2 linked regions of the Macaca mulatta genome follow. The protein of the gene in region 2 purifies or fractionates together with the protein of the main gene of each other region. This does not show direct contact. Links are inferred from orthologs where the notes say so. Each region holds a gene or a part of one and is shown on either strand. Other genes may lie near its edges.

The links.
Region 1: the proteins of CDK5RAP2 (region 2) and PCNT purify together in Homo sapiens (co-immunoprecipitation; 4 studies listed by BioGRID and IntAct, with this or other methods). This does not show direct contact. The link is inferred for Macaca mulatta from reciprocal best matches to the Homo sapiens genes CDK5RAP2 and PCNT.

Annotation. Positions count from the first base shown.
Region 1 is NC_133408.1:1,140,445-1,143,865, forward strand, and holds part of PCNT (pericentrin), read right to left. Parts: intron 2,858-3,421; coding exon 2,738-2,857; intron 2,085-2,737; coding exon 1,855-2,084; intron 437-1,854; coding exon 360-436; intron 1-359. UniProt on the Homo sapiens protein: Integral component of the filamentous matrix of the centrosome involved in the initial establishment of organized microtubule arrays in both mitosis and meiosis. Plays a role, together with DISC1, in the microtubule network formation.
Region 2 is NC_133420.1:37,623,203-37,626,950, reverse strand, and holds the start of CDK5RAP2 (CDK5 regulatory subunit-associated protein 2), read right to left. Parts: upstream 2,667-3,748; 5' UTR 2,478-2,666; coding exon 2,419-2,477; intron 1-2,418. UniProt on the Homo sapiens protein: Potential regulator of CDK5 activity via its interaction with CDK5R1. Negative regulator of centriole disengagement (licensing) which maintains centriole engagement and cohesion. Involved in regulation of mitotic spindle orientation.

The DNA.
Region 1 (3,421 bases), on a different chromosome or scaffold from region 2:
AGAAATAAGCATGATGCTCTACAAGGAAAGAGACGTGAAGTGAGTTTCAGTTGATTTGGGGAATAAAAAAGACCATTTTGCTAAACACTATTAAAGAATCAATATATTGAGCATCTCAGCATTTCCCATCACCATATGCCCCTGTGAACTGTGCTCATAGCTAACGTGAGCTCTGACCTCCCTGTGCTGGGCGCACCCTCCCTCTGAACGACTGCCCTGACGGAATTCACGGATTTTCTTACTGTGCTTTATTACATCCCCATCAACACTGAAAAATGACCCAAAGGTGAATGAAAAAGCTACAAACAGTAGGAAGAAAAGTTTGTGAGTCCAGCGGCCAACGGCAGCGGGAGTCCCACCTGGGCGAGGGACTTTGCCTTGTGCCAGAGCTCCTTTCCGATCTACTTCTTGCCATTTCTTAACCAAAAAACGTAATCTACAAAAAAAGGAGACAAGACACACTTAAAAGTATGGCAAAACAGGAAGGGAAAGAGCAATGAAAACCCCACTGTGATCAAACAAGCAGAATGGGGCCTTGACGTTAAGGCTGGCCAGTCTGTGGACTTGGGCCCTGCACGCCGGGTGCACACATCCAAAGTGCTTGCAGGGCTGCTGGCGGCAGAGACCTTCCCACGCCCGACCACCTGACGAAGCCTCACTGCAGCCCCACCATGGACCATCCGGCTCCCCAGACACCCGCCGTGGCCCAGCTCAGGACGACTCCAGTTCAAAGTCAGCAGCCACACCAGTGACTAGGAAACACACGCTGCTCCGGCCTGGTGTGCAGGACCTTCGCGTCTTCATCCTGTCACAGATGCCAGCGGACAGGCTCAGCACACGGACACCCCAGCCCTCGCAGGAGTCCGTCAGATGGTAAGCACGCAGGGTGCAGGTGACGAGGGCATGCAGGTCAGGGTGCACGGCCCCAGACGTCCTGCTAGGATGGCCTTCGGGACAAGCATCATGCCTGCGGCTTCCCTCCTTTGAGGCACAGCAGACACTGCCGATTCCTCCATGAGACCCGTGAAGGCCCCTTGGTGGCAGCTACCCTAGGCAGTGCTCTCACAGGTACACAGAAACTGCTCCTGTCTGGGACACTGCTGCCTTCAAATGATCCCTCCTCGACAGGAAGACCCTGGAGGTAGGACTTGGGTCCGCTTACCTCCCCCATCTAGTGCCTAAAATGCTTCCTCAGGCAGGGTGTTCTCCCCACGAACACAGGATGGACAGATGGGTGGATGAAAGGATGGACAGTGAAGGCCTACGGTCAGGGGAGCTCAGAGCCGAGGAGACAAAAGTGCCCCAGGACCAGAGAAGCTGAGAGCACAGCACCCCAGGAGGCCTCGCCTGCACCCCACTTCAGCCCAGCCCGCAGCTGCAATGACGGAACTTCTTGGCGCCTGGTCTCTGAAAGGAACAGGACTCCTAGCTACTCTCTGCTGCATCTGCTCCTCCAGACAGGCCTGTGTGTGGCCTCAGGGAACACTGTGGCGTCAGGGAGCAGGCACAGCCACACAGCGTTTAGGCGGAAAAGCAGTTTTCGAAATTCAGCACATTCTAAAACTATGAAATGGAAAAAACTGTGGCACGAAACCCATTAAAAGTCAAGATGTTCCTCTGTAATACAAAGGTGCCCTTAAATCTTTAGTTTCAGAAGGTGACAGCTTCATACACATGACTTCTTGAAGACAAGTTCATCATCTGTATTTTCTCTAAGGCCTCAAATGCCATTCATCTTTAAAAAGAGAACATATTATAGAGTTTCAAGGAATAAAATCACCAAAAAACCATGCAGCGTGCTGCCCATTCACGGGGACAGACGCGGACGTGCTGATTGGATGTCACGGCATTTACCTCAATACGGCAACAACCACCCTGACGGCCGTGCGGAACCGTGTGAAAGGGCGAGATGTGGTTTTCCGCTCCGCTTTGGAAGGAAATACCCCCAAATGGGCAATCATGGAGAGTGTTTCTTGTTCAGAATCCTGGAATCCACCAATCAACAGCAAAAGATACTTCTTTTGATAAATCAGAGCTTTTCTAAAGCTCTCTGCTCTCAAATAATGCAGGTACAATTTTTCCATCTAAAAGAAAAAAAACAGATTTTACCATAGGAAAGACGCCTGTCTTGCTGACAAAGCACATTTACACCATAGCTCTCTCCAAAGAGCCAGATTGTTTTTTCTCAGCAAATCATCACAGAGGCCATCGGCCTTGCAACAGTATCTGTGGCCAGAAACAACGTTGCTGTTCTGCTCAAAGACCAATTTGTGTTTGTCAGACAAGATCTAGAACCACAAGCTTCTCTCCACAGCATCATCAAATGGGCCCCTATGAAGGCTTCTTGAATTTAACCTCTTAGGTAAGGTCCAAATTGGGCATGGGATGGACGTCACAGGGTGGGGCCTGTGTGCCACCAGGAGACTGCAGCAGAGCTTGGGCCAAATCCCGGCAAGTCCCTGGGCCAGGCCTCCCTCAGGCTGCAGAGGCTGCCATTTGCTGACTTGGTCAAAGCCTTCCACGTTCCACACTTAACAAGCATAGAAACTCAGTACGTGTGCACAACTAAACCAAAATTCAAGCTGAAGTTTATTCTGTGAACTTCCTTTCCTTTAGTGATGTGATTGCTACACCCGGCAGACGAGAACCTTGTGGTCCCCAAAATACTTTGCCTGCAATTTACAAACCCAGGACTTTAAAAAGCACCAAAGTTCTATACTCGTGGCACTGTTCCTACCTTGACGTTGCTGGGGTGTGCTTCCTCGCTGGCAGCCGGTGGAAGCCGGCCAGGGTCTGGGCGCCTCAGGGAACTCTGTGGAGCCGTTTCGTCTGGCTTCCAAGCAGCCCTTTCCGACTTCTGTAAGGAAGCACAGCCCACACTGTCTACAGAGCTGCTCGTCAACAAGAATATCTTAGAGAGGCAGCCAGGGGCAGGTTAGGGAGAATGCCGTGTGCAGGGAGGCCAGGCTGACCACACCACGACTGGGCCCTCCTCATCTTCAGCACCCCCTCAGCAGGGCCTAGGTTACGCCGTGCTGTGATCAGTCAAAGAATTAACATGGAGTAATTACGACATGCCACTTGCTGAAGTATGACTGCAAAAAAGGTACATTTTAGTAGAAACAGAAAACTAATTATTTGTAAAATCACCCCAAATTCAAAGCTTTAAGCCTTAAACACTCATATTCTCTGGTCCTAGAAATGCCAGCCACCGATAACTACAAACACAGTCAGCTCTCGACAGCTGTGGGATCCGCATCCATGGATTCAACCAACTGTGGGTGAAAAATATTCAGAAAAAAAGATGTGTCTGCACCAAACACATACACTTCTTTTCTTGCCCCTACACCCTAAACAATACAGGATAACAACTATTCACAACAACTATTTACGTGGCCTGGCCTTTTGTGGGGTGGAGCTG
Region 2 (3,748 bases):
TACAAAGATAGATAGTGGTGACAGTTCAGCAATAACACAAATAGATTTAATACAATTGAACCATGCTTTAAAATGGTTAAGATGGAATGTATGCAGTATCTAGGTCCTGCAAAGGAGGGAGATGAGGGAAAGGAGAATGTTTGCTGTTCTGTTGAGTAGTTACTCCAGGTCAGACACTGAACTAAACTTTTTAAGATTCATTTTAATCCTTATGCCAACCCTAGGCTTTACACCAACCCCTTTTACAGATGATAAACACTGAGGCTCACGGAGGATGAGTGACTTGCCCCAAATCAAGGGGTTGTTAAGTAGCAGAACTGGGATTGAAACCCAGCTGGGCCTGGGACCCCAAAACCCAAGTGTTTGGCCAACAAGCACTGAAATGAGAATGGCTATCTGAGAGAATAATAATGGAAGTTACGGTAACAGCAATAAGCAGCATTAAAAGTATAAAGCAGCAGACTGTGAAGAGCAGATTTATATTTTAAAAATAGTTCTCAGGCTGGGCATGGTGGCTCACACCTATAATCTCAGCACTTTGGGAGGCCAAGGTGGGCAGATCACGAGATAAGGAGATGGAGACCGTCCTGGCCAACATGGTGAAACCCCGTCTCTACTAAACATACAAAAATTAGCCAGGCATGGTGGTGCACTCCTGTAATCCCAGCTATAGGGGAGGCTGAGGCAAGAGAATTGCTTGAACCCGGGAGGCAGAGGTTGCAGTGAGTCGAGATCGCGCCACTGCACTCCAGCCTGGTGATAGAGCAAGACTCAAATAAATAAATAAATAAATAATAGTTTTCAAACTGTAGTATAAAAAACTATTAGAGGTGCAAAGGACAATACAGGAGAGAAGCCATACTCCAAATATATTGGGGCAGTGGAAGTAAAACAGACAGAAAAGGGCATGATGAAATATCACAGGACCCAATTAGACAGGAACTGCAAAGCATCTTAATCTGTGCCTGATACATGAAGGTTCTCAATAAACAGAAAAACCATTTGTCCAAGTTTACCCAAGATAGGCCCTATGTATGTCTGCTGCCCGGGCATAAATATTAATTATTTTCACTTTTTTTTTTTTTTAAGACAAAGCCTCACTTTGTCACCCAGGCTACAGTGCAGTGGCATGAACACAGCTCACTGCAGCATCAACCTTCCGGGCTCAAGCAATCCTCCTGCCTCAGCCTCCCGAGCGGCTGAGACTACAAGTGCATGCCACCACGCCTGGCTAATTTTTGTATTTTTTGTAGAGATAGGATTTCACCATGTTTCCCAGGCTGATCTCACACTCCTGAGCTCAAGAAATAGGCCCACCTCAGCCTCCCCAAGGACTGGGATTACAGGGGTGAGCCACCGCGCCTGGCCCTTTTCACTCTTAAGTGTCCCAGTTAGCACAATAAATACCATGGTTACCCTTTCAATTAGGATCTGTTGACTAAAAGCAGCAGCTTGTCCCTAGTAGAGCTGGATAAACAGTGCAGGTTCTCAGTCAGGGCTCTCCTCTTCCTTCTTCTACTCACTCTCCAACCAGGAGTCCAGGACAACCACAGGGGCCAGCCCTGAAGCAGTGTAGTGCTCTATTAGGCCTTCCTACCAGACTCCAGCTCAACCAGCAATGGGGACTCCCAGTCTCTTGGGGCAGGTCCATGGGAGGCCACTCTTGGCCATTATTCCCTGATTCATATCACCTTTGATGACAGTAGTAATAATAACACTAATGGCAACACAAGATCATTTTTTAAGTACTGATTATGTGGCAGGCACTACAGGTGCCAAGCTAATGGCTCGACAGGCATCACCTCTTTTAATCCTCACCCCAACTCTATTGGGTAGATATTACTAGCCCATTTTACAGATGGGAAAGCCAGTGAAATCACTTTACCAAGGTCACACAGCTAGTCAGTTTACAGGGCTGGATTTGAATCCAGTTTTGTCCAACTCCAGCCACGGCTCTTAACCATTGCACTCCATTGCCTCCTGGGTGGCCACTATCTGACCCAAAAAGCAAAGTCTGGGCATATCGGCTACACTCTCCATAATGAAAACAAACCCTCAAACCAGAGTGAACCATCAGGTGCCCTCAAGGTCCCTGTTCCGCACCAATCCCCACTAACGGGATACTCCAAGTGGCCCCACCCTGGTCCTACTCTTTCACAAAATCGCTTACTTGTTCTTCAAGCCCTCTACAAAGTACGTGGTGCAATGCTACAGGCAACTGTGGTGCAGATCGTGGCTCCCAGCCCCCCAAAGTGTCAGCTGGTGGGCCCCCCAGAGACCCTCTCCGAAGGAGCCCACCCCACACACTTGCCCCTGGCCAGACACCCTCAAAAGCAAACCTCAAGGCCGCGTTAGAGTGAAACCCCATCAGCTGGAACCCCGGCCCGGTTACCAAGACCACCAATGCCCCGGCCGCACCTGCAGCCGCTGAGCGTCCCAAGGAGGGTGACGTCCTCTTCCAACACCGAGTCCATCATGGATACAGAGGTGGTGGCGGTGTTGGTGTCAGTGGCGGCGGCGCCACTAGTACCCCCCGCGGTAGCGACCCGCCGAGCTCCCAGGGTCCCCGCCCCCTCCACCCCAGCGCTTGTTCAGACTCTGGCGGCGCCGCTGGAATTCAAACCACAGACGCCGCCATCTTTCCCGGCGCTTCTTCCTACGGAAACGAGGCGGGGTCACCGAGGCGCACGCAGTGAAGCCGACCGGCTGGCGCCAGAGGACGGGCAGGGAAGCGGGGGTAGGTGCCATCTTAACTAAGGGCACAGCGTCCGTGTTTTTGCCAGCAAAACTAAGAGAAAAAAAGGCCGGCTGTCATTTTTTGTGAGGGCACTTAAGACGAGGCGAGGGCGGGTGCCATCTTTGTTGAGGGCCAAAGCCGGCCCTAGTCCGTTAATTTACGCGGGAGATGGGAATGAATACAGCCCCTTAGGCATCCTCAAATTTCCTAACCTCGTGTTTGCTTTTCTGGAATAGTGACCCCAAAACTGGGATTTGACCTTGAGTTGAAACTCAGATAACTGAGTGCTGCCTTGCTTCAGAAAAATCCTACATGAGGAATCTCAAGGCAAACAGTAATTTGCAGACTTAGTTTGAAGCAAATAACTTACTCCCATGAGTCAGTGGTCAACAGCACTCTCACTCCAGTCACTCACCTATTGATCTTTTATTACTATTAGGACTCAAAAGGCACTTGTGGTCAGAAAACTGAGGCCCAGCGAGAGGAAATGACTCTCCCAAAGTAATTAAGTATTGACAATGTCTTTCAACTGGAGCAGGGTCCGCAGCTCCTGCCAACTAGATGAGGGCTCTCTGCATAACCCTGACTGCCTTTCATTTTTGTCTTTTTTTTTTTTTTTCTTTTTGAGACGGCGCCTCACTCTGTCGCCAGGCTGGAGTGCGGTGGCGCGATCTCAGCTCACTGCAACCTCCATCTCCACCTTCACCTCCCGGGTTTAAGCGATTCTCCTGCCTCAGCCTCCCAAGTAGCTGAGATTACAGGCGCAGCGCCACCACGCCCAGGTAATTTTTGTATCTTTAGTAGAGACCATGTAGATTCACCATGTTGGCCAGGATGGTCTCGATCTTTTGACCTCGTGGTCTGCCCGCTTCAGCCTCCCAAAGTGCTGGAATTACAGGCATGAGCCACAGCACCCGGCCCCTTGGCCGCCTTTCTTAAAGCACATAGCAATCACCAAACACTTAGATAATCTTGGCAGAGCTTAAGCAATGAAATCAACCTTCCCCTCCT